Linked DNA regions of Anolis sagrei. The protein of the gene in region 1 interacts with the protein of each later gene in a pairwise test. Links are inferred from orthologs where the notes say so. Each region holds a gene or a part of one and is shown on either strand. Other genes may lie near its edges. The genes, in order: NAB2, NEDD9, MORF4L1 and TCHP.

Region 1 (7,120 bases):
CTGTTGGTCATGGGAGTTCCGTGTGCCAAGCCTGGTTCAATTCAATTGTTGGTGGAGTTCAGAATGCGCTTTGATTGTAGGTGAACTATAAATCCTAGCAACTACAATGCCCAAATGACAAAATCAATCCTTCCCAACCTCACCAGTATTAAAATTTGGGTGTATCGGATATTTGTGCCAAATTTGGTCCAGTGAATGAAAATAGATCCTGCATATCAGATATTTACATGATGATTCATAACAGTAGCAAAATTACCATTATGAAGTAGCAATGAAAATATTTTTATGGTTGGGGGTCACCACAACATGAGGAACTGTATTAAGAAGGTTGAGAAGGAATGCTTTTGGTGGTGGTAGTTTGTAAGAGACGGGGAAGGCAGCAGCCCACTCCCACCATTGCCTTTCCTCTCACCATTACATATCATGCTTGCCAAAATGCTTTAGGAGGGCTTTAGGGGCAGAATTCTGTGGCCCCGTTTAAGAGAATGGCACATGTCCCTTAAACCATATTTGGAAGTAATACAGTAAAGTAAATACACATCTGAACAGGGAGGAGCCTGCTGGACTGGAGTGGGAAAAATGTTGCCCTTCAGGTGCCATGAAGTTGCAAGTCTCAGCAGCCAGGAGAGCTAATAAAGAATGATGGGAGTTGCAAAACCACCTTGAGCAGTGCTTCCCAATCTTTGGTCCTCCTGGTATCCTGGGCTGGATCTACACTGCCCTATATCCCAGGATCTGATCCCAATTATCTGCTTTGAACTGGATTATCTGAGTCTACACTGCCAAATAATCTGGGATAAACAGATAACCTGAGATTAGATCCTGGAATATAGGGCGGTATAGATTCAGCCTTGGACTTCAGTTCCTACAATTCCTAACACCTGGTAAGATGGCTAGGATATCTGGGAGTTGAAGTCCAAAACAACTGGGAGGACCATAGGTTGAGAATCACTAATCTAGAGCACTGACTTTTCCTTTTTTGGAGGACAGCTGAAGCATTTTCTGCACAACCAGCCCAACTGTAAACATTGCACATTGTTGTAAACATTGCACATGGTTCAGATATGTTTCGCTGTTGCCCATTTTTTGTGATTCCAACACTGAGCTAAGGGGTCCCCATTTGGGATCAGGACCTACAGTTTAAAAAACAGTATTCTGTTAGCAAAAATGTGCAGTGTTCACAGTGGACTCTGCAGAAGATGCTTTAGTTGTACATCACAAAAAGGGGAAATCAGTCTGCTTAGCAAGCCTTGCAAATGCAGATTTTGTCACAGAATCGTAGAGTTGGAAGAGACCACATGGGTCATCTAGTCCAACTCTTTGCCATGCAGGAAAAACACAATTAAAGCACCCCCGACAGATGGACATCCAGCCACAGTAAATGTTTAGTGTTCACATCAATTTGACATACATCTATAGCCAGGTCATATGAAACATTATTGGGTAAAAAGGGGTCATGAGTGGTCTTCCTTTTAAGCACCTCCTAGTATAAGACCATGAAGCCCAGTCTAAAACTACCTAACTACTTCACTTCCCAAAACAGCTTCTAAATTAAACTTTTTTTTCATGTCAGGAGTGACTTGAGAAACTGCAAGTCACTTCTGATGTGAGAAGTGAGATGTCTGTCTGCAAGGATGTTGCCCAGGAGACACCCAGATATTTTTACTATCCTGTGGGAGGCTTCTCTCATGTCCCTGCTTGGGAAGCTGAAGCTGACAGATAGGAGCTCACCCTGCTCCCCAGATTCGAACTGTGACCTTTTGGTCAGCAGTCCTGCCGGCACAAGGGTTTAAACCCATTGCGCTACCGGGGGTTCCATGAGTTTATAATCAGTGCTTGGAAAAATGTGGCCTCTCTACTGATGTCCTCATTTTCTACCCCGAGGTCCGCTTCCCCATCTTCATCTTTCTATATTGACAAATCTACTGTATATTTATGTCTATTCAGCAGTGGGACTTTCTGCTTCGGAATGTGGTGGAAGCTTTTAAATAGAGGCTGGATGGCCATCTATCAGGGGTACTTTGATGGTGCTTTTCCTGCATGGCAGGGGGGATGGACTATATGGCCCCTGTCGTCTCTCCCAACTGAATTATTCACACACACCCACATACACAAATATATATATATATATATATATATATATATATATATATATATACACACACACACACACACACACACACATATACATTCACAAACACACACACACACACACACACACACACATATATACACACATAGTTTTGTTTAACTGACTTCCTCTTGCATTTGTTGCTTAAGCCCCTTCTACACAGCTGCATAAAATCCACATTGAACTGGATTATCTGGCAGTGTGGACTCTTCCAGACAGGCCCTCTATCCCAGGTTTTCGGTTTTCTGTTTATCCCAGATTATCTGGCTGTGTGGACTCACATAATCCGGTTTAAAGGAGAAAACTTGGGATCAGATGCTGGAATAGAGGGCCGATCAGCCCCAGAGGAGGAGAGAACTATGATGCCTCTGCATGGAGCCAGGGCAGCTCAAGCGGTGTGGAGCTGCATCAGTTCCACCGTGTAGAGGGGTGTCCTAACTCGCTCTCCCTTCCCCCTCCTCCCAAAGGCACTCACGGGTTTCTTGCGTGGCTCCCTTCCGAGGCCGCGGGTGGGGCATGGGCCAAGGGGTTGGCTCGCCCTGCAGGAGGCGCCTTCCTCTTGCTCTTCTCTCCGAGGGCGCAAGGCATCCGACGCCGCTTTTGGTCCCCTCTTCTGTCCGTGGAAGCTCTCTCTCAATCGCTCTCTTTCTCAATCGCTCTCTCTGCTCTTCCTTCCTTCCCTCCTCCTCCCCTTCTCCTTCTTCCTCCTCCTCCTCCTCCTCGCCTCTCCCTCCCTCCCTCTCTCTGTGCGCTCAGCCTTTGGCACGGAGTTGCCTCCCACGCCGCCGGATTTACAATGGCTCCGCGTTGCTTGTGCTGCTGCTGCTCTGCCTCAGTGGCGCGTGGGAGGCTCGTGGGCGGAAGAAGCAGCAGCAGCACTGAAGGGAGGGAAGTGAAGGGAAGGAGCTGCAGCCACACACTGTCCGGTTCATGCAGTTTGGCATCAGGGGGAGTTTGGAGAGATTCCAGCCCTCGTGGGCAGGCAGAGAAGGCTACAAAGGCCCTTTCCACACTGACATCGAACATCCAGATGATCTGCTTTGGCAGTGTAGACTCATGTAATCCAACTCAGAGCAAAACATGTGAACCAGTGGTTCTCAAACGGTGCTCCTTCAGATGTTTTGGGTCTCATCCCTGCTCTGCACAAGTCTCTTGTCACATCAAGTCTCCAGTCCACAATGAGGAGCTAGACTCAAGATAGGAGTAGGCTGAGGGATTCCTCCCCCACATTCTTATGCATATTTACCAAAAAGGGCTTTGGGTTCTTATAATTTTTTTCGGGCTATATGACCATGTTCTAGAGCAGTGTTTCTCAACCTTCCCAATGCCGCGACCCCTTAATACAGTTCCTCATGTTGTGGTGACCCCCAACCATAAAACTATTTTTGTTGCTACTTCATCACTGTCATTTTGCTCCTGTTATGAATCGTAATGAATCTCCAGCAAAGGATCACCGCCTTGTCGGGGCGCTGGAGCTTGAGCACCTCAATGATGTCATGAGCGAAACCGTGAAGGGCCACCCAAGACGGGACGGTTGTGGCAGAGAGGTCAGACCAAGCGTGATCCCTGGGGAAGGCAATGGCAAACCACTCCAGTATCCTTGCCAAGAAAACTAAATGGACCAGTACAACCAGAGATATGTCGGTATGCCATTGGAAGATGGGACTCCCAGGTCGGAAGATGGCCAAAATGCTACTGGGGAGGAGCAGAGGATAAGTTCAACTAGCCCCAGATGTGATGACGCAGCTAGCTCAAAGCCGAAAGGAAGGCTAGCGGCCGACGGTACTGGAGGTGAACGACGAATCCGATGCTCTAAAGATCAACACACCATAGGAACCTGGAATGTAAGATCTATGAGCCAGGGCAAATTGGATGTTGTTATTGGTGAGATGTCAAGACTAAAGATAGACATTCTGGGGGTCAGCGAACTGAAATGGACTGGAATGGGCCACTTCACATCAGATGACCACCAGATCTACTACTGCGGACAAGAGGAACATCGAAGAAATGGAGTAGCCTTCATAATTAATAAGAAATTCGCTAAAGCAGTGCTTGGATACAACCCAAAAATGACAGAATGATCTCAATTCGAGTGCAAGGAAAGCCTCTCAACATCACAGTGATCCAAATATACGCCCCAACCACAGCAGCTGAAGAAGCAGAAGTAGATCAGTTCTATGAGGATCTGCAGGACCTACTGGATAATACACCAAAAAGAGACATTATTTTCATTACAGGAGACTGGAATGCCAAGGTGGGAAGTCAAATGACAACAGGGATCACAGGCAAGCATGGTCTGGGAGAACAAAACGAAGCGGGACGCAGGCTGATAGAATTCTGCCAGGAAAACTCGCTGTGTATAACGAATACTCTCTTCCAACAACCTAAAAGACGGCTTTATACATGGACCTTACCAGATGGTCAGCACCGAAATCAGATTGACTACATCCTTTGCAGCCAAAGGTGGCGGACATCTATCCAGTCGGTGAAAACAAGACCTGGGGCTGACTGTAGCTCAGATCATGAACTTCTTATTGCCCAATTTAGAATAAAACTAAAGAGATCAGGGAAAATACACAGACCAGTTAGATATGATCTCACTAACATTCCTAGCGAATATACAGTGGAAGTGAAGAACAGATTTGAAGGACTAGATTTAGTAAACAGAGTCCCAGAAGAACTATGGACAGAAGTCCGCGACATTGTTCAGGAGGCGGCAACAAAGTACGTTCCAAAGAAAAAGAAAACCAAGAAGGCAAAATGGTTGTCTGCTGAGACACTGGAAGTAGCCCAAGAAAGCAAAAGGAAACAGTGAAAAGGGGAGATATGCCCAGTTAAATGCGCAATTCCAGAGGTTAGCCAGAAGAGATAAGGAACTATTTTTAAATAAGCAATGCATGGAAGTGGAAGAAGACAACAGAATAGGAAGGACAAGAGACCTCTTCCAGAAAATTAGAAACATTGGAGGTAAATTTCAGGCAAAAATTGGTATGATAAGAAACAAAGATGGCAGGGACCTAACAGAAGCTGAAGAGATCAAGAGAAGGTGGCGAGACTATACAGAAGATCTGTATAGGAAGGATAACAATATCGAGGATAGCTTTGACGGTGTGGTGAATGAATTAGAGCCAGACATCCTGAGGAGTGAGGTTGAATGGGCCTTAAGAAGCATTGCTAACAACAAGGCAGCAGGAGATGATGGGATCCCAGCTGAACTGTTTAAAATCTTAAAAGATGATGGTGTCAAGGTGATGCATGCCATTTGCCAGCAAATATGGAAAACACAAGAATGGCCATCAGACTGGAAAAAATCAACTTATATCCCCATACCAAAAAAGGGAAATGCGAAAGACTGCTCAAACTTCCGTACAGTGGCCCTTATTTCTCATGCCAGTAAGGTAATGCTCAAGATCCTGCAAGGAAGACTCCAGCAATACATGGAGCGAGAGTTGCCAGATGTTCAAGCTGGGTTTAGAAAAGGCAGAGGAACGAGAGACCAGATTGCCAATATCCGCTGGATAATGGAGAAAGGCAGGGAGTTTCAGAAAAACATCTACTTCTGCTTCATTGACTATTCTAAAGCCTTTGACTGGGTGGATCATAATAAATTGTGGCAAGTTCTTGGTGGGATGGGCATACCAAGCCACCTTGTCTCTCTCCTGAGGAATCTGTACAAGGACCAAGTAGCAACAGTCAGAACTGACCACGGAACAACAGACTGGTTCAAGATTGGGAAAGGCGTACGGCAAGGCTGCATCCTCTCACCCAACCTTTTAAACTTGTATGCAGAACACATCATGCGATGTGCGGGGCTGGATGAATGCAAAGCTAGGGTGAAAATTGCTGGAAGGAACATTAACAACCTCAGATATGCAGATGACACCACTCTGATGGCCGAAAGCAAGGAGGAGCTGAGGAGCCTTCTAATCAAGGTGAAAGAAGAAAGCGCAAAAGCCGGGTTGCAGCTAAACATCAAAAAAACCAAGATTATGGCAACAAGAATGACTGACAACTGGAAAATAGAGGGAGAAAATGTGGAGACCGTGACAGACTTCGTATTTCTAGGTGCAAAGATTACTGCAGATGCAGACTGTGGCCAGGAAATCAGGAGATGCTTACTTCTTGGGAGGAGAGCAATGTCCAATCTCAATAAAATAATAAAGAGTAGAGACACCACACTGGCAACAAAGATCCGCCTAGTCAAAGCCATGGTATTCCCTGTAGTAACCTACGGATGTGAGAGCTGGACCTTAGGGAAGGCTGAGCGAAGGAAGATCGATGCTTTTGAGCTGTGGTGCTGGAGGAAAGTGCTGAGAGTGCCTTGGACTGCGAGAAGATCCAACCAGTCCATCCTCCAGGAAATAAAGCCCGACTGCTCTCTGGAAGGAAGGATACTAGAGACGAAGTTGAAGTACTTTGGCCACATCATGAGGAGACAGCAAAGCCTAAAGAAGACAATCATGCTGGGGAAAGTGGAAGGCAAAAGGAAGAGGGGCCGACCAAGGGCAAGATGGATGGATGGCATCCTTGAAGTGACTGGACTGACCTTGAAGGAGCTGGGGGTGGTGACAGCTGACAGGGAGCTCTGGCGTGGGCTGGTCCAGGAGGTCACGAAGAGTCGGAGACGACTGAACGAATGAACAACAAATGAATCGTAATGTAAACATCACATATGCAGGATGTATTTTATTCACTAGACCAAATTTGGCACAAATACTCGAAACACCAAAATTTGAATACTGGTGGGGTGCGGGCTTGATTTTGTCATTTGGGAGTTGCAGTTGCTGGGATTTATAGTTTACCTAGAATCAAGGAGCATTCTGAATTCCACCAACGATGGCATTGAACCAAACTTGGCACACAGAACTCCCATGACCAACAGAACATACTGGAAGGGTTTGGTGGACGTTGACCTTGAATTTTGGAGTTGTAGTTCACCTACACCCAGAAAGCACTGTAGACTCAAACAATGATGGATCTGGACCAAAC
Region 2 (7,944 bases), on another chromosome or scaffold:
GAGACTTCATTTGCTGTAGGGTCCATGTTCAGCAAATCTCCGAGTTACAAACGTCCAACGTACATTCTACTCATAGTTAAAAATGGGCGTAGGAAAACAGGACGTCAGAGAAAACTGCCCCTAAAATGGGAAATTTGCTCCTGAAAGAGTTATCATGCGGGAAAAGATGTCTTCACTGAAGCTTTCTCACCAGTCCTTGTTTCCACAACAAGCTATTTTTTCAAAATCAAAGTATCCCAGGGTTGGAAAATGAGGCGAAATCTTCTGAACAGGGGCACAGGCAGCAAAACAAACCCCACAGGGGTATTAACCCTTACCGATGCGATCCAAAGCTTTGGAAAAAAAATAGTTTTGGCTGGAGTTACACTTTAAACATGTCCTTGTTTCAACTTACATACAAATCCAACTGAAGAACAAGCCTACAGAGCCAATCTTGTTCGAAACTTGGGGACTGCCTGTGTTGATCTTTGGAGTAGTTCTCAATCCGAGAAGCCACAACCCTGGGTCTGCAAGACCTTGAGGACAGGCTGACTTGGAGGTCTTTCAACTTTAACTCAAAGGCAGCAGAGAACAAGAAGAAAAATTCACAAAACATTCTTGCAATGTCTGAATCTCACCTTCCCTAAGCCATGTATTTAAGGATGTTTGAGTCAGTCTTCCGAGAAAAGATCTCAACTTGTATTGTCAATGGCTTTCATTGCCGGAATCACTAGGGTGTTGTGTGTTTTCCGGGCTGTAAGGCCATGTTCCAGAAGCATTCTCTCCTGACATTTCACCTGCATCTATGGTAGACATCCTCGGAGGTTGTGAGGTCTGTTGGAAACTACTTTACTTAGGCGATCCCTCATAGGATGATGGTGTTCTGTCGGTGGGTCCGTAGGTGACTGTGGGGCCCTGTTCTTGATCTGCATCTTCTCCCGCAGTGAGGGCATTGGTTTCCAGGTGGAAGGCAGTCCTGGTCAGGGTTGGCTTGACATGCCTTCCTCTTGGCACGTTTCTCTCTTTTGCCCTCCATTCGTGCCTCTTCAAACTCCACAGCACTGCTGGTCACAGCTGACCTCCAGCTGGAGCACTCAAGGGCCAGGGCTGGTGGAAACTAGGCAAGTTGGGTTTATGTATCTGTGGAATGACCAGGGTGGCCAATTGCTACATTCGCACTTGCCTCAATCAGACAAGAGTTCTTTCTCCCACCCTGGACATTCCACAGGTATATAAACCCAACTTGCCTAAGTTTCCAACAGACCTTACAACTTTTGAGGATGCCTGCCATATATGTGGGCAAAAAGTCGGGGGAGAATGCTTCTGGAACATGGCCAGACAACCCCGAAAATCACAGGTCCAGGGTGGGTGAAAGAACCAGGCAGCAACCTGCCAGGCTTTGAAGGTGCAAGGCCATTAAATGTAAATCAAGCTGGCCAATTACAACATTCACGCTTGCCTCAATCAAAAAAAAGTTCTTTCTCCCACCCTAGACATTCCACAGGTATATAAACCCAACTTGCCTAAGTTTCCAACAGACCTCAAAACCTCTGAGAATGCCTGCCATAGATGTGGGCAAAAAGTCAGGGAAGAATGCTTCTGGAACATGGCCAGACAGCTTGGTAAACTCACAGGTCCAGGGTGGAAGACAGAACCAGGCAGCAACCAGCCAGGCTTTGAAGCTGCAAGGCCATTATATGTGAATCAAGCTAGCTAATTGCAACATTCACACTTGCCTCAAGCAAACAAGAGTTCTTTCTCCCAACCTGGACATTCCACAGACATATAAACCCCACTTGCCTGGTTTCCAACAGACCTCACAACCTCTGAAGACGCCTGCCACAGATGTGGGTGAAACGTCAGGAGAGAATGCTTCTGGAGCATGGCCAGACTGCCCGGAATCATAGAATCATAGAATCAGAGTTGGAAGAGACCTCATGGGCCATCCAGTCCAACCCCCTGCCAAGAAGCAGGAACATTGCACTCAAATCACCCCTGACAGATGGCCATCCAGCCCCTGTTTAAAGAAAATACACAACAACCCAGATCTCAGCTTGCCCTCCCTCCCAACATACACACACACAAGGGGAAGAATTTCTGATAAAAGCTTTGAACAAAAAAAAATGTTGTTTGCTCAGAAATAAGGACTTGAGCAAAGCATTCCTAGACTGTCAAGTCCCCTTGAGCCCCACAGGGCTTCTTTCCTCGCAGGTAAGGAGTGGAGAAAGTGCCTGAGCTCCGATCACATCAGCTTGGGTCTTGAGAGCGACCTTAAATCCGGAGTAACCGAACGGAAGCGACTGGAGGAAGCGCGCCTGCTGTGCTGCAAAGGTCGCCCGCGCTAGAAACTTCACGCTCACTCCTCATCACACTAGACAAAAAAATCCACTTAAAATCCGGTTTCTACCTCCTGCAGAATACTGAGGTTTGTAGTTTAGTGAGGCTGTTAAAATCTCCTCCCTAAACTAGAAAGCCTAGAATGCTGTAGGAGGCAGAAAACGGATTTTAAGTGGATTTTTTCTCCAGTGTGATGAAGCAACATGTCGAATGAAGAAGGTTATTGATGGAAGCTGACTCTGGAGACAGCCCTTTCCCTTCCCTGTGAGGGCATCTGTAGAATCAAAACAGCTTGACACCACTTTCCCTGCCATGGCTCAAAGCTTTGGAATCAATCCTTTGGAGGGAGACCAGGCTCAACCTATCATCTCTCTCCTTCCTTCGCCTTTCCTTTTCCATTGAAGGAAGCCGGGCAATCCTTCCAAGCCCCAGCGCGCTTTTTTCCAACTTAGACAAAAAGCCAAAACTTTCCTTCCCGTTTTCTTACCTTGTACTTCATCCTCGCAAGCTTAATGAGGGGCGTCTTTGGGGGGAAATCCGGCCGCTTTACAGCGAGATCCCCTCGCCCACCATAGCCTTTGCCCGCTTAGAAGCGAAGCGCGTCCCCGTGTGTGGAGTGAGGCGCGTTCCCGCCGGAGGTCGAGCACCCTTCGGAGTCTCCGCCGCTCTCCGCGCATTGTTTGCCTGGCGGAGGGGGCAAAGCGATGGCTCATTTGCATACCTCTCCGCCATTGGCCAGCGCGCCAGACGTTCCTGAGCTGGGGGCGAATGCCTCCTGGTGACCCCGCCTCCCCTTTAGAACGGGTCATTCATTAGCGCTCTGCGTTGGCACGAAAGGGAGGGGGAGGGGGAGCAGGAGCAGGGGGAGGAGCCCAGGAAAGTTTTCCAAACCCAGAGCCCTTCCACACAGCCATATAACCCTGCATGGTTCACGATTGAACTATATCGGTGTTTCTCACCCTTAATACAGTTCCTCATGTTGTGGTGATCCCCAACTCTAAAATTATTTTGGTTGCTGTTTCACAACTGTAATTTTGCTACTGTTATGAATTATAATGTGAATATCCCATATGCAAGACGTATTTTCATTCACTGGACCAAGTTGGACACAAATACTCGACACGCCCAAATTTGAATACTGGTGGGGTTGGGGAGAGGGATTGATTTTGTCATTTGGGAGTTGTAATTGCTGGGATTTCTAGTTCACCTACAATCAAAGAGCATTCTGAACTTCACCAGCAATGGAATTGAACCAAACTTGGCACGCAGAACTCCCCTGACCAAGAGAAAATACTGGATGGGTTTGTTGGGCATTGACCTTGAGTTTTAGAGTTGTAGTTCACCTGCATCCAGAGACTCAAACAATGATAGATCTGGACCAAATTTGGCACCAAACCTCAATATACCCAAATGTGAACACTGGTGGAGTTTGGGGAAAACAGACCTTGTCACTTGGAAGTTGGAGTTGCTGGGATTTCTAGTTCACCTACAATCAAAGAGCATTCTCAACTTCACCAACGATGGAATTGAACCAAACTTGGCGCACAGAACTCCCCTGACCAACAGAAAATACTGGATGGGTTTGGTGGGCACTGACCTTGAGTTTTGGAGTTGTAGTTCACCTACAACCAGAGAGCACTGTGGACGCAAACAATGATGGAGCTGGACCAAATTTGGCATGAATACTCAATATGCCCAAATATGAACACTGATGGAGTTTGGGGGAAACAGACCTTGTCACTTGGGAGTTGTAGTTGCTGGGATGTATAGCTCACCTACAATCTAAGAGCATTCTGAACTCCACCAACGATGGAATTGAACCAAATGTGGCACACCGAACTCAACGGAAAATACTGGAAGGGTTTGATAGGCATTGACCTTGAGTTCTGGAGTTGTAGTTCAAAAAGATCCAAAAGAGGGAGAGAATAACAGGAAAATGGGGAAATGGTTTAACTCTTCAACCCTCCTCCCAATAAAATGGACAATCCTTTGTCTAGTGCCTCCTTTTGGCCTCCACTCAGAAAATGGAGCAGTCCTGTAATATAATAATATATAATCTAGGTGCAAAGATTACTACAGATGCAGACTGCAATCAGGAAATCAGGAGGTGCTTACTTCTTGGGAGAAGAGCAATGACCAATCTCGATAAAACATAGAAGAGTAGAGACATCACACTGGCAACGAAGATCCGCATAGTTAAAGCAATGGTATTCCCCATAGTCACGTATGGATGTGAGAGCTGGACCATAAGGAAGGCTGAGCGAAGAAAGATAGATGCTTTTGAACTGTGGTGCTGGAGGAAGGTTCTGAGAGTGCCTTGGACTGCCAGAAGATCCAATCAGTCCATACTTCAGGAAATAAAGCCTGACTGCTCATAGGAGGGAAGGATAGTAGAGGCCAAGATGAAGTACTTTGGCCACATTATGAGAAGAAAGGAAAACTTAGATAAGACCATGATGCTGGGGAAAATGGAAGGAAAAAGGAAGAGGGGCCGACCAAGGGCAAGATGGATGGATGGCATCCTTGAAGTGACTGGCTTGACTCTGAAGGAGCTAGGGGAGGTGACGGCCGACAGGGAGCTCTTGCGTGGACTGGTCCATGAGATCACAAAGAGTCAGAAATGACTGAATGAATGAACAACCGCAATGCTGTTTGGGTTTTTCCTATGTACAATAAGTAAATAAAATTCATGATAAGTAATTTACTTGTTGAAAGCTTTCAGGGCAGAAATCAGATGTTGTGCACCTTTGAAGATGCCAGCCACAGATACAGGCAAAACGTCAGGATTGAATGCTGCTGGGACATGGCCATACAACCAAAAAAACTCAGCAACCGACTTTTGCATCTTAAATTTTCCTGGTTAATAGTATAGTCTCTGCACAACACACCTTAATTATTTCCTTCTGTCCTTTCCTCCCTAACACTCATAATATAACATTAAAAGTCAAATGTTTCTTTTGGCATGGGGACAAGTTCTTTATTTACGAGTTGATTAGATGCTGGAGGGCAAGGTGGTTTCAAACAATATAGATGCCCCCTCCCCCTTGTTGGCAATTTTTAAAATGATGTGCCAGTTTAAGACAAGGTGCTTCAGTTCACTCAAAGGCAAGCAGAGATGAATCAAATACGACCTGCTATGTCCATACTTTATAAGTGGGCCTCTTTATTAGGTTGAAATGATTCCTGGCCAGACATTCACTATCTCAGCTGGGAGAAACTCCAACCAGACAAAATGATTTGGACTGAAAAAAATCTCCAGTCTGAGTCTCAAAGCATTCCGCTGCTGAGAGCTCAACGTTTTGTTTCTTTTATTCTGACCAAGTTGGACCTGCCCCAGTGTTTCTAAGTCACAGATGGACTCGGATGGCTTCCAACGGCCTAAAAACGAACAGTAGGCTGTATTCTGTTACCAGATTACTGTACAAGGATTCTGTTGCAGAGCAGATAGGCTTGGTGGAGGGAACCTGGCTTTTTTATTATTATATAATTTATTTGTAAAGATCATTTTTTGAAACTAATAAAAGTCAGCTTACAAAATACAAAAGAACAGCAACATACCCATTCAAATTATGCTTATTTTATTGTTTATCTGTTTATTTACCGTATTTATATACCACTTTTCTCAACCGGGGGGGATGGGGACGGGGGACTCAAAGCGGTTTACAAAAAATAAGGGCAAAATTCAATACCTTACATACATAAACCAAATCATAAATCACTAAATCATAAATTATAGCAGTTTTTACTTACTTACTTTCTTACTTACTTAGGTGATCCCTCGTAGTCCAAGGATGATGGTCCTCCAAGGTCAGTGTTCTGGCAGTGGGTCCGTAGGTGGTTGTGGAGCCACCTACATCTTCTCCCACAGTGTGACGGCACAAGTGGCGCCACCTGTGTGTAGAACTTTAATTTGCAAAGGTTTAAACTGTGTAACATGCCCCAACTTATCTGTTTTCTCTGTAAATGTATAGTGGGATTGATTGGTTATTTATAGCTGTCAATCAATGTTGTTTGCACCAGATGAATTGCTCCTCCTGCTCAATTGTTTTGACCCCACCTCTTCCTAGAGAGCAGGGCAGTGTTTCTTTCTTCATTCTACCATCAGACATCTCAGCAGATGGACATGAGAAAGACTTGGCTCTAAAGCCTTTAATTAAGTTACCTCTAATCACCAATTCTAAGGTTTTTACCCTTGGGACTCATACTTCATGCCCAGATCTCCCTGGACAGCGTTGAGGAGACCCAAGTGCCTTCAAACCGATCCTGTGGCACCAGAGGAAGGCTTCGTGTCTTCAAATATAGGCCATTTGGATTTGGAGCTGTGAATGTTCAGGCATTTGCAGCCATTGAGAAAGAGGGAACAGGAAAAGCTTCTCAGCTGCGAAGTCTCCTTGGACCCAAGACAACCAGAGACTGCAATGTATATTTCTTTTATCCCTTTGAAACTTCCAGCTTATTGCCTTAAAGGGATAACTCTTTGTGAACAATAAAACCTATTTTGAGTTAGATCCAGTGTTTTGGTCCTTGGGAGTTCCAGTTTCCTAAAGGAGGGCAAGAAGCAATCCCCTGGGGAGAGATATCACGTCCATGTATCTTTCACTAAGATCTATAGACCCCAGGCGTAACAGCATACACAGTGAGGACATTGGTTTCCAGGTGGAAGGCGGTCCCGGTCAGATTGGCTTGACACGCCTTCCTCTTGGCACATTTCTCTTTCGCCCTCCATTCGTGCCCCTTCAAATTCTACAGTATTCAAAATATACAAAATTCAATACCTTACATACATAAACCAAATCAAAAATCACTAAATCATAAATTATAGCAATTTTTAAAAATGCATTATAAGGAAAAGGAGTAAATCAGAGTGTGGGTTCGCTGCCCACCTGAAGTCATGAGTGTTGGGGTCTTCTTGGGAATTTCATATCTGGAACCTCTTCTCTCATTGAGTTTACAAAGATCACAGTTTGTGGGCAAATTAATAAGAGAGAAAGTAACCTTTTGGGTCTCTTGGTCTTCATCCATGTCTGCCCCAAGATTGGAAGTACAATTCGATTCCAATATCTATGGTGGATACACTCCCAGATTTCACATGGACACACAAAATCATGGATAATAGTGAACTTTATTGAAACATAAGACTTCTGGCCCAAGAATACCATAGAATCACATTGTAGGACCCAGAAAATGCCTGGAGAAGACATACAATATTTTGTCAAAAATTGATAAGTGGAATCCTATACTGGTGTTGCAGATATGGGGGTCATATTGTAATACGTTGTGAGCAAAATAGTCAGTTACATTCAAAGGAGTCAATCTGCTAAGAGTAAGAAGTGGAAATTTCCACTTCATGTCACCCTACTGGAAGGCTGGCAGCTGTCCCTTATTATAGGGATTGTCCCTTTCTTTGGAGTTTGGGAAGCTTGTAGGCAGAGGCGGCCCTAGGTAATTTTCAACGGTAAGCAAACAGTATTTTGGTGCCCCCCTCCAACCAATCATTGATATATATATATTTTCTGTTTGTCGTGGGAGTTCTGTGTGCCATATTTGGTTCAATTCCATCATTGGTGGAGTTCAGAATGCTCTTTGATTGTAGGTGAACTATACATCCCAGTAACTACACTTGCCGCA
Region 3 (7,372 bases), on another chromosome or scaffold:
TATATTTCGACTTCTGCTCTCAAAGACAGGCAGGGCTTTGCTATCTGCCACTAGGAATCAAGGACATGTTGCCTTTTAATAGTGTTCAATAATTTTCTTTTAACAAATGCTTAACTGTCTTGTGTTTTCATATTTATTTTTTCAATAAAGTTTTGGTAGTTTTCTCTGATTATCTCAATACTATAAGTAACAATAATAATGTGGCCAACTCAGGCTCTCCCTCGGGAGATTACTGCCCCCAAATTGTCAAATATTAAAATAGGGTCAGACTGCATTCATTCTACATTGTATATCAGGCACGGGCAAACTTGGGCCCTTCAGGTGTTTTGGACTTCAACTTCCACAATTCCTAACAGCCTGTTAGGAATTGTGGGAGTTGAAGACCAAAACACCTGGGGGGTCCAAGTTTGCCCGTGCCTGATGTGGAGGCACTCTATGCTTTATATATTCTATCATTCATATATGTATTGAGATATATATCTATATGTCTATGTATGTGTATTGGTACTACAAAGACTCCCTTTATAGCTTGATGGAGATGGACCAACATGACATACAAATGCTTCATGGCATACAATCCAGAGGAAGAAAGGAAGGGAGAGGCAGAGAAGGAGAGAGAGAAGGGAAGAAACGGAAAGGAGAAGGGATGGAGAGAAGGAGTAGAAAGAGAGAAAAGGGGAGGGGACAAAGAAGGAGAGAAAGAGACAAATGGAAAGGAGAAGGGAGAGACTAGAGAGCAAGAAGGGAAAGGAAGAGAGGGAGAAAAGAAACAAATGGAAAGGAAAGAGGAAGGGAGAGGAGAAAGAAAGGGAGAGAAGAAAATGAGAAAGAGATTAACGGAAAGGAGATGGGAGGGAGAGAATGAGAGAAAGAAAAAAGGAAGGGAAAGAAAGGAAGAAAAGTAGAGAGAGACGGGGACAAATGGAAAAGAAAGGGAGAGAGGAGAGAAGAGAGAGAAACGAGGGGAGAAGGAAGGGAGGGAAAAGAGAAGAGAGAAAGAAAGAAGGAAAGAAAGAAAGGGAGAGGAGAGAAAAGAGAAAGGAAGGAAAGAAAGAAAGAAAGAAAAAAGGAGGGAGAAAAAAGAAAGAAAAGAAGGGGAGGAAAAGAAGGAGAGAAAGAGAGAGAGAAGGTGATGAATGGAAAAGAGAAGGGAGGAAGAGGAGAGACAAAGAAAGGAAAGAAAGAAGGGAGAAAAGACGAGAAAAGAGAAAAGGAAGGGGAGGAAGGAGAAGGGAGAGAGAAAAGAGAAAGAAGGGAAAGAAAAGGAGAGAAAAGAGGAAGGAAGGAAGGATGGAAGGAAGGAAAGAAAGAAAAAAGGAGGGAGAGAAAAAGAGAAAAGGGGAAAAGAAGGGGAGGGAGGGTGAGAAGGAGAGAAAGCGAAGGGTGGGAGGAAAAGAGATGGAAGAGAGAGAAAAGAGGGAAAGAAAAGTAGAGGAGAGAAAAGAGAAAGGAAGGAAAGAAAGAAAAAAGGAGGGAGAGAAAAAGAAAAGAGAGGGGAAAAGAAGGGGAGGAAGAGAAGGAGAGCGAAAGAGAAGGGGATGAATGGAAAAGAGAAGGGAGGAAGAGAGAGAGAAAAGGAAGGGGAGGGAGGGGGAGGAAGAGAAAAAAGAGAAAAAGAAGGGAAAGAAAGGGAGAAAAGAGGAAGGAAGGAAAGAAAAAAGAAGGGAGAGAAAAGAGAGGGGAAAAGAAGGGGAGGGAGAGAAGGAGAGCGAAAGAGAAGGGAGGAAGAGAGAGAGAAAAGGAAGGGGAGGGAGGGGGAGGAAGAGAAAAAAGGAAAAAGAAGGGAAAGAAAGGGAGAAAAGAGGGAGGAAGGAAGGAAGGAAGGAAAGAAAAAAGAAGGGAGAGAAAAGAGAAAAAAAGAAGGGGAGGGAGGGTGAGAAGGAGAGAGAAAGGGATGAATGGAAAAGAGAAGGAAGAGAGAGAGAAAAGGAAGGGGAGATAAAAAAGAGGAAAATAGAAGGGAAAGAAAGGGAGAGGCGAGAAAAGAGAAAGGGAGGAAGGAAAGGAAAGGAAAGAAAGAAAAAAGGAGGCAGAGAAAAAGAGATGGAAAAAGAAGGGGAGGGACAGAAGGAGAAAGAGAAGGAGATGAATGGAAAAGACAAGGAAGAAAGAGGGAAAAGGAAGGGGAGGGAGAGAGAAAGAGAAGGGGATGAGATGAATGGGAAAGGAAAGGAAGAAAGAGAGAGAGAATGAAGGGGAGGGAGAGAAAAAAGAGAGAAATAGAAGAGAAAGAAAGGGAGAGGAGAGAAAAGAGAAAGGGAGGAAAGAAAGAGAAAAAAGGAGGGAGAGAAAAAGAGAAAAGAGATGGAAAAAGAAGGGGAGGGAGAGAAGGAGAAAGAGAAGGAGATGAATGGAAAAGACAAGGAAGAAAGAGAGAGAGAACGAAGGGGAGGGAGAGAGAAAGAGAAGGGGATGAGATGAATGGGAAAGGGAAGGAAGAAAGAGAGAGAGAATGAAGGGGAGGAAGAGAAAAAAGAGAGAAAGAGAAGGGAAAGAAAGGGAGGGATGGTGGAAAAAAGAAAAAACGAGGGCAGGAACTGAATAGAAAGGGGAAAAGATACGAGGAAAGGAAGAGGAAGAAGGTGGAGGAGGGACAGCAAAGGAAGATGAAAAGGGAGGGAGGGAGAGGGGAAAGGGAGAAGAGAAGGGGAGAAGGTCTGTGAGGAGAACGAGAGGAAGGGATGCATCCTCCACAAAGGAAATGCTATTCTGTGGAAGGCAGAAGGCCTCCCATCCCAGGGGAGCGTGTAGGCCTCCTTGGCTGGCTGAGAGGCCCCTCAAAGGGGGTGCCCTTCCCTGAGAAGGCCTTCCTCCTCCTTCCTGAGGGGAAATAAGTGTGCCCACCAGCGTGCCCCGGCTACCCCTGGCCTCCCTCCCCCGGCGGCCCCCTCACCCTCCTGGAATTTGGGCTTCGGGTCCTGCTTGGGCGCCATTTATACGCGGCTCCGCCTCCGCCCCGCTTGCTCGCCCGCGCAGGCGCAGTCCGGGCCAGAGAGTAGGAGGGGCCTGAGGCGCGCGTGCGCAGTAAACGGGAGCCCGACTCGCCTCCGCCTCCCTCCCTCCCTCCCTCGCGCGAGGCATGCCGGTCTCAGTAGTCTTAAGCGATCTGAGGGGGGAAAGGGAGTTGAAGTCCAAAACAACTGGAGGGCCGGAGTTTGCCCAGGCCTGAACAGGAAAATAATAACACTCACTACTCCTTTATCTTGGTTGTGTGCCTCGAAATCGTTGCTTTTTTATCAAAGACAAGCACCTTTCTTCCTTGTGCCGCCAGAGGGCACTTTTGCATCAAGGAAGCTTTGATGTGTCCTATGACTATTTCTCATGCTCAAGATCCTGCAAGGAAGACTCCAGCAAGACACACAGAGAGAGTTGCCAGATGGACAAGCTGGCCCATCTTTAATGGGCTCAAAGCCAACCTTAAAATCTCTGGCATAGACACTGAGAACTGGGAAGCCCTGGCCCTTGAGCGCTCCAGCTGGAAGTCAGCTGTGACCAGCAGTGCTGCAGAATTTGAAGAGGGTGAAAGAGAGAAATGTGTCAGGAGGAAGGCGCGTCAAGCCAACCCCGACCAAGACCACCTTCCATCTAGAAACCAATGTCCTCACTGCAGAAGAAGATGCAGAGCAAGAATAGGGCTCTACAGTCACATACAGTCCCACAAGAATACTGGAAGACAATCCTCCTTGGAAAACGAAGGATCGCCTAAGTAAAGTAAGTAGACACTGAGAACTGGGAAGCCCTGGCCCTTGAGCGCTCCAGTTGGAGATCAGCTGTGACCAGCAGTGCTGCAGAATTTGAAGAGGCACAGATGGAGGGTGAAAGAGAGAAATGTGCCAGGAGGAAGGTGCGTCAAGCCAACCCCGACCAAGACCACCTTCCACCTAGAAACCAATGTCCTCACTGCAGAAGAAGATGCAGAGCAAGAATAGGGCTCTACAGCCACATACAGTCCCACAAGAATACTGGAAGACAATCCTCCTCGGAAAACGAAGGATCGCCTAAGTAAAGTAAGTAGACACTGAGAACTGGGAAGCCCTGGCCCTTGAGCGCTCCAGTTGGAGATCAGCTGTGACCAGCAGTGCTGCAGAATTTGAAGAGGCAGAAATGGAGGGTGAAAGAGAGAAACATGCCAAGAGGAAAGCGTGTCAAGCCAACCCTGACTGAGATCGCCTTCCACCTGGAAACCAATGCCCTCACTGTGGGAGAAGATGCAGGTCAAGAATAGGGCTCCACAGCCACCTACGGATCCACAAGAATGCTGATCATGGAAGACCCTCGTCCAACGAGGGATCGCCTAAGTAAAGACAAGCTGGCTTTAGAAAAGGCAGAGGAACAAGAGACCAAATTGCCAATATCCAGATGCTGGATAATGGAGGAAGGCAGGGCTTTTCAGAAAAACATTTATTTCTGTTTATTGACTATTCTAAAGCCTTTGACTGTGTGGATCATAATAAATTGTGGAAAGTTCTTTGTGGCATGGGCATACCAAGCCACCTTGTCTCTCTCCTGAGGAATCTGTATAAGGACCAAGTAGCAACAGTAAGAACTGATCATGGAACAACAGATTGGTTCATGATTGGGAAAGGCATACAGCAGGGCTGTCTACTCTCACCTGACTTATTCAACTTGTATGTAGAACTCACCACGTGATATGCAGGGCTTGACGAATGCAAGGCTGGGGTTAAAATTGCTAGAAGAAATATTAACAACCTTAGGTATGCAGATGATACCACTTTGATGGCTAAAAGCGAGGAGGAGCTGAGGAGCCTTCTAACCAAGTTGAAAGAAGAAAGGGCAAAAGCTGGGTTGCCCTTAAACATCAAAAGCACCAAGATTATGGCAACCGGACTGGGTGATAACTGGTAAATAGAGGGAGAAAACATGGAGGCAGTGATAGACTTTGTATTTCTAGATGCAAAGATGAATGCAGATGCAGACTGCAGCCAGGAAATCAGGAGATGCTTATTTCTTGGGAGGAGAGCAATGGCCAATCTTGATAAAATAGTGAAGAGTAGAGACATCACACTGACAACAAAGATCCGCATAGTTAAAGCAATGGTGTTCCCCGTAGTCACCTACGGTTGTGAGAGCTGGACCAGAAGGAAGGCTGAGCGAAGGAAGAGAGGCGCTTTTGAACTGTGGTGTTGGAGGAAAATTCTGAGAGTGCCTTAGACCATGAGAAGACCCAACCAGTCCATACTTCAGGAAATAAAGCCCGACTGCTCATTGGAGGGAAGGATATTAGAGGCAAAGATGAAGTATTTTGGCCACATAATGAAAAGACAAGAAAGCTTAGAGAAGACCATTATGCTGGGGAAAATGGAAGAAAAAAGGAAGAGGGGCCGACCAAGGGCAAGATGGATGGATGGTATCCTTGACCTTGAAGGAGCTGGTGGTGGAGACGGCCGACAGGGAGGTCTGGCATGGGCTGGTTGATGAGGTCACAAAGAGTCAGAAGTGACTCAATTAATAAACAACAACAATGGCTTAAATTGGGACAATGGGTACATCTACACCAGGGTTTCTCAATCTGGGGGTCACAAGGAGGGTGCCAGAGGGATTGCCAAACAGTGTTTTCTGCTAGTCCTGGGAAGAGGAAGGAGGATGTAAAAGAATGGAGGAAGAGGAGGAAAAGGAGGAAGAAGAAAAAGAGGAGGAAGAAGAAGGAAAAAGAAAAAGAGGAAGAAGAAGAGAAAGAATAATCATAGAATAATAGAACTGAAAAAAACCACCTGGCCACCTAGTCCAACCCCCTGCCATGCAGGAAAAGCACAAAGAACTCCCAACAGATGGCCAAGCTTACAAGGAGGGGAAAAAAGGAAGAGGAAGGAGTAAAAGGAAAAGCACAAAAAAGAAGAAGAAGAAGGAGAGGAAGGAGGACGAGATAGAGGAAGAAGAGAAGGAAAAGAAAGAAGAGGAGGAAGAAGTGAAAAGGAAGAAGAAGAGGAAGAGGGGAGAAAAAAGAGAAAGAAGAAGAGGAGGAAAAGGAGGAGGAAGAAGTGGAAGAAGAGAAAGATGAGGAAGGAGGAAAGGGAAGAGGACAAAGTAGAGGAGGAGGAGGAAGAACAGAAGGAATAGGAGGAGGAAGAAAAAGAAGAGGGAGAGAAAGAAGGGAAGGGAAGAAGGGGAAGGGGACCAAGATGAGGTAGAAAAGGAGGAAGAGAAAGGAGTAAAAGGATGACAAAGATGAGGAGGAAAAAGAGGAGGAGAAAGAGGAAGAAGAAGAGGAAAAGAAAGAAGAGAAAGAGGAGAAATAAGTGAAAAGGAAGAGGAGGAATAAGAGGGAAGAAAGAAGAAGAGAAGGAGGAAAGGGACAAGGACAAAGAAGAGGAGGTGGAAAAAGAAGAGGGAGAGAACGAAGGAAAAGGAAGAAGCAGAGAAAGAGAAAAATGTGGTAGAAAAGGAGGAAGAGGAAGGAGTAAAAGGAAGAAGACAGAGAAGATGAGGAAGAAAGAGGAAGAAGGGAAAGAAGAGGAGGAAAAAGAGGAAGAGGAGGAGGAAAAGAAAGAAGAGGAGGAAGAATATGTGGAAGAAGAGAAAGATGGGGAAGAAGGAGGAGGAGGAAAAGGAAGAGGACAAAGAAGAAGACGAAGAGAAAAGAGGAAGAAGAGGAGCCTCTTTCCTTCTCTTTCGGGGCTGCGGTGCCTCCTCATGGGGGGTGGGGGTGGGAGGGGCGTGTCAGGAGGAGGTTGGGGTCCCCTTGAGCCCCTCCCCCTCCCCTTTGGCCCCTCCCCTTTCCGTCCCGCAGGGTCCCGGCAGGAGTGGCCGAAGGAGCCTTCTTCCTCCTCCTCCTCCTCCCTCGCAGAGCCGTGCCTCGGCCGGCATGGAGGGGGCCGGGGGTCTTCCTCCTCCTCCTCCTTCTCTTCTTCCTGGGTCCAGCAGCTAGGAAGAGAGAGACCCCCGACCCTCCCGGCCATGGCCCAACGCCTCCTCCCGGCGCTCCTCCTGGCCGCCTTCGCCGCATCCTCCGCTGGTGGGTCCGGGCCCCTTGAGATTGCCAAAGAGGGGAGGGAGACCTGGAGGTGGGGTGGGGGGGGCAAGGGGTCCCCGGAGCATGCGCAGAGGGCGCGGAGGGGGAGAGAAGCCTTGCACGCAGAAGCCCCCTGAATCCCTCCCTGGTGTGCCAAGCCTCTCGCTTTCTTTCTGTATTCCTCCCCAGGAAAAAAAAAGTTTTCTAGGCAAGTTTTGCACAGCAAGGGCTGGTCTTTGCCTTCCAAAGCCTCCCAGGATGCCACAGCATTCCACCAAGACAGTTAAAGTGGTGCCAAAGTGCATTTCTTTTGCAATGTGCATGCACCAGAGTTTTTCCATAATCATTCCCACTAGGATCACAGCAGGGGGTTCTGTGGTTTGAGCTAGGCACATAGGTTTT
Region 4 (7,965 bases), on another chromosome or scaffold:
GGGGCCATGTGTGCGCGCGCGTCGGGGAGTTTGCGCCAGTGCGCATGCTCAGTTGTTTTGCCGTTTTTTGTGGTTGTTGTTGTGTGGTTTTGATTTCTGAGTGGATTAGTTTGTACCTAGTGGGTTGTCCTTGGGGCATGGCAATTTTGGTACAGTTTTGTGGAGAGGTTTTAGAGTTTTGCTTCCCCGTTGGACGCCAGTAGGAAATTTATATATATAGATAATATGATAGTAATATAATAATATAATCTATATATTTATATCTATTCTATCTATATCTATATCTATATAATAAAAGTCAGTGTTTGGGGCAGGTTGGATCATGGATGATAGGATTTGCAGTGTTTTCAAATGCTTCAGCACCCACAGACCACCAGCCCACAACAATGAGAGATCAGGACCAAGCTTGGCACACAGAGCCCCCATGACCCACTCTACATCCTGGTGCGGTTTGAAGGAGGATGGACCATGGATTATGGGACTTGCAGTACATTCATTTACTTCTGGAGATCCCTGCGACCTACATCAATGACAGATCACGACCAAACGTGGTACACAGAACCCCCATGACCCAGTCTATATCCTGGTGAAGCTGATAGAAGCTTTAGGAGGGTCTTCCCCAAAGGGAGGGACCCTGAGACCGTACCAAAAAGGGTCCGCTACTTTGGCGAGCCAGAGAAAGCCTGATTTCAGCAATTTTGTTGAGATTAAAATTCAAAATAAGCTCACTGAAAGTCGAAGAAAGGCACCGAGGTGGTTTTATTTGCGATTCAGCTGAAAAGGATGCTAAGTAGCGATAATTCGTCTACAGAGCATACCAGTACAGAGATCAGAGGCATTTTTATAGGAATTTCCAGGTTTGAAAGTTCAAAATTCCCGCCCCCAGCCCTCCGCCCGGCTCGCCAGTGATTGGCTGATGAGATTCCAGCTGGGAGGAGGCACGGCCGGCCGCCCTGCTTCAATGCCAATCACGGAGCTCCCCCGCTTCACAGGGGCCATTGGGAAAACTTTCCACGCTTCAGCGCCTTGGCGAATCAGGAGAAGGGAGGCGGGACGAAACAGAAACAATGAGCCGGCGAATGAATCAATGGGTGCGATGCCCACCCTATTGTCCTTGAGTGGATTTGCGATGATCTTTGATTACCTTTATCCTGGTCTCCAGCCACAATCAGATAAGGCACAAAGGGTGGCTTGGGGAAATGTCTGGTTTATGAATGGAGTAAGCAAAATTGGGAAGGCGACCCCCCAAGGATCGTCTCGCTCCTATTGTGAAGATGGCCAAAGGTTTGCCAAGGACATTCCAGACTGATGGCCATAATCCTGGAACCACATGGAGATTCCAGGTCTTATTGTCCACGCCAAAGTTCTGGGATATGTGTTTCTTTGTTGCCTCTGATTGCCTTTCCAACAGCTGGCCGCTTCCTTGAGGTGACTCTCCTACTATGAAGGGGCGAGGGGTGGGGTGCCAAGGAAAAATACTTGGGAAAAGAAACAGGAATCCAGATAAATTCATGTCAACCTCCCTTCTCTCCCCCCACCTGCCAGAGAAATTGGTTAATATAATTTTATTAAGACGTGAGTCCATGGTTCATGTGGGGCAATTCATATGTAGGGAATGAGTTCATAGGAGCAAGAAAAGGGGATTAAAGAAAGCCAAAAAGTCTCAAAAAGGTGTCTGATCATTTCCACTGAGCCAAAGGATGGATTCCAGCAATGTCAAGATCAAGTTGGTCTTTTGTCCTTGGGGAACTATAACTCCTTCCAAGGACTTGGGCCTCCAGGCCAGGCTCTTCCCCGTGAGCCTTATGGGGTAACCACACCAAGTATTCGGGGGCATGGGTCTGGCGGAGGCGATGAGATGGCGGGGCGCAGCAGCGCAGAAGTAACGGAGCCAGCTTTTTGACAATCAGCTGTTCCTCGCAAAATATATTCTTAAATTGGTTATTTCCCGAGTGTAGAAGTCCAAAAGGCAAAAAGCGAGATAGCAGATAGGGTTAGAATTAAGCTAGGAAAAATATGCCACCGAAATGGGGGCGTTTGGCCATCTCGCGGATGACTCAGAGGGGAAGACTCAGTATCCGCGGTTAGAAAAGTGCAGATTCGGCCTCCCCGGAATGCCAGGAAGGCATTCCGGGCAAGCCTGCAGTCTCCTGCGGCCTGGGAAAGATTATTTTCAAGCATTTAGATAGTTCAGGCAAGGAAAGAACCAAAGTATCAAGCTAGAGGGTTAAAAGTTGCAATTTCATAAATCTTTATTTGGGGTTTTGTTACAAAGTAGGGGCTGGGTAGGAAAGTGGGAAGAGAAAGCATAGGGCTGTTTTGAGTCCTGGTTGAGCTCGCTGTTGGGGCTCATTTAATCAGTTTGGCCCAATCCTTGCTTCCAGGAACTGCGGAAATCCCTGCTGCAGGTCAATTTAATTTAAAAGCAGAGGTCTGAGCTGCGCTCGGTATCACTGGTGCTATTTGGAGGAGGAGGATAAATTGATGATGGAACTTGCAGTACTTTCACTCACTTCTTGAGATCACTGTGACCATCAACAATGACAGATCAGGACCAAACTTGACACACAGAGCCCCCATGACGCACTCTACATGCTAGTGTGATTTGGAAGACTTTGGACCATGGATAATGGGACATGCAGTATCTTCATTCACTTCTAGAGACCACTGTGACCATCAACAATGACAGATCAGGACCAAACTTGACACACAGAGCCCCCATGATGCACTCTACATGCTAGTGTGATTTGGAAGACTTTGGATCATGGATAATGGGACATGCAGTATCTTCATTCACTTCTAGAGATCACTGTGACCATCAACAATGACAGATCAGGACCAAACTTGACACACAGAGCCCCCATGACGCACTCTACATGCTAGTGTGATTTGGAAGACTTTGGACCATGGATAATGGGACATGCAGTATCTTCATTCACTTCTAGAGACCACTGTGACCATCAACAATGACAGATCAGGACCAAACTTGACACACAGAGCCCCCATGATGCCCTCTACATGCTAGTGTGATTTGGAAGACTTTGGACCATGGATAATGGGACATGCAGTATCTTCATTCACTTCTAGAGACCACTGTGACCATCAACAATGACAGATCAGGACCAAACTTGACACACAGAGCCCCCATGACGCACTCTACATGCTAGTGTGATTTGGAAGACTTTGGACCATGGATAATGGGACATGCAGTATCTTCATTCACTTCTAGAGACCACTGTGACCCAAACCAATGACAGATCTTGGCACACATAGCCACCATGACTGACTTTACATCCTGGTGCGATTTGGAGGAGGACGTACCATGGACGATGTGACTTGCATATGGGAGTTGTAGTTCATCCACACCCACTGAACCCAGCCGACATTGGATCTAGGCGAAACTTGATATCTATTAAAATATAATAGGTTTATTTATAAGTCACTTAAATACAAATGCATTGGGTTTTATTCATTTCAAAGTGCTGACTTTAGCCTAGAAAGCCCTAAACCAGTGGTTCTCAACCTCCCTAATGCTGTGATCCCTTAATACAGTCCCTCATGTTGTTGTGACCCCCAACCATAATATTGTTTTCGTTGCTACTTCATAACAGTCATTTTACTACCGTTATGTATCATAATTTAAAAATCTGATATGCAGGGTGCATTTTCATTCACTGGGCACAAATACCCAATGCACACAAATGTGAATGCTAGTGGGGTTGGGGGAGGATTGATTTTGTAATTTGGGAGTTGTAGTTGCTGGGATTTATAGTTCACTTATAATCAAAGAGTATTCTAAACTCCACCAATGATTTGAACCAAACTTGGCTCCCATGACCAATGGAAAACACTGGAGGGGTTTGATGGGCATTGACCTTGAGTTTGGGAGTTGTAGTTCACCTATATCCAGAGAGCACTGCGGACTCATGCCATGGTGGATCTGGACCAAACTTGGCATGAATACTCAATATGCCCAAATGTGAACACTGGTGGAGTCTGGGGAAAATAGATCTTGACATTTGGGAGTTGTAGTTGCTGGGATTTATAGTTCATTACAATCAAAGAATATTCTGAACTCAACCAACGATAGAATTGGCTCAAACTTCCCACATGGAATCCCCATGACCATCACAAAATGCTGTGTTTTCTTATAGTCTTTGGCGACCCCTCTGACACCCCCTCGCGACCCCCTTAGGGGTCCTGACCCCCAGGTTGAGAAACACTGCCCTAAACGGTTCCGGTCCAGCTTCCCTGTCCAAACGTATCTCTCCTTATGAACCATCTAGGAATTTAAGATCGTTTGGGGAGGCCCTGCTCTCGATCCCGCCTTCTTTGCAGCTGCGGCTGGCGGGGACGAGAGACAGGGCCTTCTCAGTGGTGGCCCCTCGGCTGTGGAACTCCCTCCCTAGGGATATTAGATTGGCCCCCTCCCTCCTGACCTTCAAAAAAAATGAAAACATGGCTTTGTGAACAAACCTTTGGGAATGCAGTGCAATAGATAAACACGGAATTATGTAAGACTGAAACATGGAACGGCTTAGACGAAAGTGAGCTTAAGTGGAAGATATTGCTTATTATGTTTTTAATTGTTTTTGTATGGATTTTATAATTTTTTTTTTGTATTTTGTGAATTGTTATGGCATCGTCTTGCTGCCAATTTGTAAGCCGCCTTGAGTTGCCTTCAGGCTTGAGAAAGGCGGGATTAGAAATATCGTAAGCAAATAAATAAACAAATTTCACGCATAAGGGGAAAAACAACAACACTCCTATTAAGTGCTTTCCAATGGGAACCCGGAAGTGTAGGATGGGAGATCGCTTCCAATTATACTGAAGCCCTTTGTCGTTCTCAGTTCGCTTCGTGCTAGTGGATGGAAGGAAGGAAAGCGGTTCTTAAAGCGAGTGGCCACGCCCCCTTCGCGCGAAGGGAGAACAAGGAAAGGTTTCTCTCCCTCGTCGGCTTCCGTAGCTCCCAACCGGAAGTGTTGCTATGGCGACGCCAGAAGTGGGGAAACCGTTAAAAATGGCGATGAAGGAGGAGGAAAGACGGTAAAGCAGCAAGTTCCGAAAAAGGTACTTAATTATAAAAATATATATATTTAATTAAAATTGTTAATTAGTAACTGATAATTAATATATGTATGTGTATAACATAATAATCTCTAAAGGGTCTCCTGTATAATAATAATAATAATATAATAAAATATGATAATATAATTTTTAAAGTAATACAATAATAATATAAAATAACTATAATATAATATAATGTGATAATAAAATTTAAAGTAATTAATGTAATAGAATAATACAGTATAACATAATAATAGAATATATTATCTATATAAATAAATAAATGTAATGTTAGTTCGTGCTACCATCAGAACTCCAAAACCACTGGGGGAATTGACACCAAATTTGGACACAAGACACCTAACAGTCCAATTTATGTCCTCCACTAAAAAAAAATGATTTTGTCATTTGGGAATTGTCGTTGCTGGGATTTATAGTTCACCTACAATCAAAGAGCATTCTGAACTCCACCAATGATGGAATTGGGCCAAACTTGGCACACAGGGCTCCCATGACCAACAGAGAAAACTGGAAGGGTTTGGTGGACATTGACCTTGAGTTTGGGAATTATAGTTCACCCACATCCAGAGAGCACTGTGGACTCAAACAATGATGGATCTGGACCAAACTTGGCACGAATATTCCATATGCCCAAATATGAACACAGATGGAGTTTAAGGGAAATAGACCTTGACATTTGGGAGTTGTAGTTGCTGGGATTTATAGTTCACCTACAATCAAAGAGCATTCTGAACTCCACCAATGATGGAATTCAACCAAACATGGCATACAGGACTTCCATGACCAACAGAACACACTGGAAGGGTTTGGTGGGCATTGACCTTGAGTTTGGGAGTTGTAGTTCACCTACATCCAGAGAGCACTGTGGACTCAAACAATGATGGATCTGGACCAAACTTGACACAAAAATTCCATATGCCTAAATATGAACACAGATGGAGTTTGGAGGAAATAGACCTTGACATTTGGGATTTGTAGTTACTGGGATTTATAGTTCACTACAATTAAAGAGCATTCTGAAACCCACAAATGACAGAAATGGGGCAAACTTCCCACACAGAACCGCCATGACCAACAGAAAATACTTAAGGCCATCCAGTCCAACTCTCTTCACCAGACCATGAAAATGTAATCAGAGCCCTCCTGACAAAGAGCCATCCAGTCATAAATATAGATAGATAGATAGATAGATAGATATGATTCTCTCTCACACACATAGATATAGTATCACAGATTTTAAAGAGACCCGTAAAGAAGGACAATGATATGTTGCATGTTCCAGGGAGAGCAAATCAGACACTCTCCACATCACACCTTGAGTTTGGGAGTTGTAGTTCACGTACATCCAGAGAGCACTGTGGACTCAAACAATGAGGGATCTGGACCAAACTTGGCACAAACACTCAGTACGCCCAAATATGAACACAGATGGCGTTTGGGGGGAATAGACCTTGACATTTGGGGGTTGTAGTCACTGGCATTCACAGTTCACCTACAATCAATGAGCATTCTGAACCCCACGAACAGCAGAATTGGGGCAAACTTTCCACACAGAACCCCCATAACCAACAGAAAATACTTAAGACCATCCAATCCAACTCGCTTCATCAGGGCAAGAAAGTGTAATCAAAGTCCTCCTGACAAAGAGCCATCCAGCCATAAATATAGATAGATAGATAGATAGATAGATAGATAGATATGATTCACACACACACAGATATAGTATCATAGATTTGAAAGGGACCCTTAAAGAAGGACTATGATATGTTGCATATTCCAGAGTAGGCAAACCAGACACTCTCCACATCAACACTGACAAAGAAATAGCAAGAAATACTGTTTACCCACAAGCATAAAGAAATTACATATATTAGAAACCAACACTTTCCCATTACTTTATTTTCCAGATCAACAGACTGGGCCACAGCAACACGTGGTAGGGGACAGCTAGTAAATATAAGTGTGTGTGAATTGTATCTATCTGTTAATATCTGTGATTGGATGGCTCTTTGTCAGGAGGGCTTTGATTACGTTTTCTTGCTCTGGTGAAGAGAGTTGGTGGTCGGGACCCCTGGGGGGTGTCGCGAGGGGGTGTCAGAAGGATCACCAAAAACCACCAGAAAACACAGTATTTTCTATTGATCATGGGGGTTCTGTGTGGGAGGTTTGGTCCAATTCTATTGTTGGAGGGGTTCAGAATGTGCTTTGATTGTAGGTGAACTATAAATCCCAGTAACAACAACTCCCAAATGTTAAGATCTATTTCCCCCAAACTCCATCTGTGTTCATATTTGGCATATGGAGTATTCGTGCCAAGTTTGGTCTAAATCCCACCAACTACAACTCCCAAATAGCAAAAGCAATTTTTTTTAGTGATGGTCACTCCTTGGGTTAGTAGATGTCTTGTGGCCAAATTTGACGGAAATTCGTCCAGCGGATTTTGAGTTATGATGTCACTCAAAACAAACAGAGCATTAATATAGATAGATAGATAATAATATATAATATATAATAATAATATACAATAATAATATATAATAAAAGGAGCCCCACTGCCCGGATTCCAACGGCCAACCTTTCAGTCAGCACAGCAGGTTAAACAGTTGAGCTGCTGAACTTGCTGACTGAAAGATTAGCCATTGGAATCCGGGCAGTGGGGTGAGCTCTCGCTGTTAGCCCCAGCTTCTGCCGACCTAGCAGTTCTGGACCACATTTGGCACAGAGTCCCAACATTGCCTGGTTTTGGGGAAGATTGACCCACGATTCTGGGAATTGCAGTTCACCCACATCATTATATATTTCCTAATGGGAGCATTGATGAAAAAATAAATCAAAGACTGTTTTTTTCCTAATAAATAGTGTTACTAATTAACTAAA

The links.
Region 2: the proteins of NAB2 (region 1) and NEDD9 interact in binary tests that used the Homo sapiens proteins (3 or more experiments, as listed by UniProt). The two-hybrid records come from large-scale screens. The link is inferred for Anolis sagrei from reciprocal best matches to the Homo sapiens genes NAB2 and NEDD9.
Region 3: the proteins of NAB2 (region 1) and MORF4L1 interact in binary tests that used the Homo sapiens proteins (3 or more experiments, as listed by UniProt). The two-hybrid records come from large-scale screens. The link is inferred for Anolis sagrei from reciprocal best matches to the Homo sapiens genes NAB2 and MORF4L1.
Region 4: the proteins of NAB2 (region 1) and TCHP interact in binary tests that used the Homo sapiens proteins (3 or more experiments, as listed by UniProt). The two-hybrid records come from large-scale screens. The link is inferred for Anolis sagrei from reciprocal best matches to the Homo sapiens genes NAB2 and TCHP.

Annotation. Positions count from the first base shown.
Region 1 is NC_090022.1:184,057,041-184,064,160, reverse strand, and holds the start of NAB2 (NGFI-A-binding protein 2), read right to left. Parts: upstream 3,003-7,120; 5' UTR 2,720-3,002; coding exon 2,607-2,719; intron 1-2,606. UniProt on the Homo sapiens protein: Acts as a transcriptional repressor for zinc finger transcription factors EGR1 and EGR2. Isoform 2 lacks repression ability.
Region 2 is NC_090024.1:83,014,616-83,022,559, reverse strand, and holds the start of NEDD9 (enhancer of filamentation 1), read right to left. Parts: upstream 3,001-7,944; 5' UTR 2,816-3,000; coding exon of another isoform or gene 2,804-2,815; intron 1-2,803. UniProt on the Homo sapiens protein: Scaffolding protein which plays a central coordinating role for tyrosine-kinase-based signaling related to cell adhesion. As a focal adhesion protein, plays a role in embryonic fibroblast migration.
Region 3 is NC_090029.1:23,454,210-23,461,581, reverse strand, and holds the start of MORF4L1 (mortality factor 4-like protein 1), read right to left. Parts: upstream 3,005-7,372; 5' UTR 2,934-3,004; coding exon 2,894-2,933; intron 1-2,893. Other genes in the region: ADAMTS7 (A disintegrin and metalloproteinase with thrombospondin motifs 7), read left to right, coding at 6,916-6,973. UniProt on the Homo sapiens protein: Component of the NuA4 histone acetyltransferase (HAT) complex which is involved in transcriptional activation of select genes principally by acetylation of nucleosomal histones H4 and H2A.
Region 4 is NC_090034.1:61,406,252-61,414,216, reverse strand, and holds the start of TCHP (trichoplein keratin filament-binding protein), read left to right. Parts: upstream 1-4,962; 5' UTR 4,963-5,070; intron 5,071-7,965. UniProt on the Homo sapiens protein: Tumor suppressor which has the ability to inhibit cell growth and be pro-apoptotic during cell stress. Inhibits cell growth in bladder and prostate cancer cells by a down-regulation of HSPB1 by inhibiting its phosphorylation.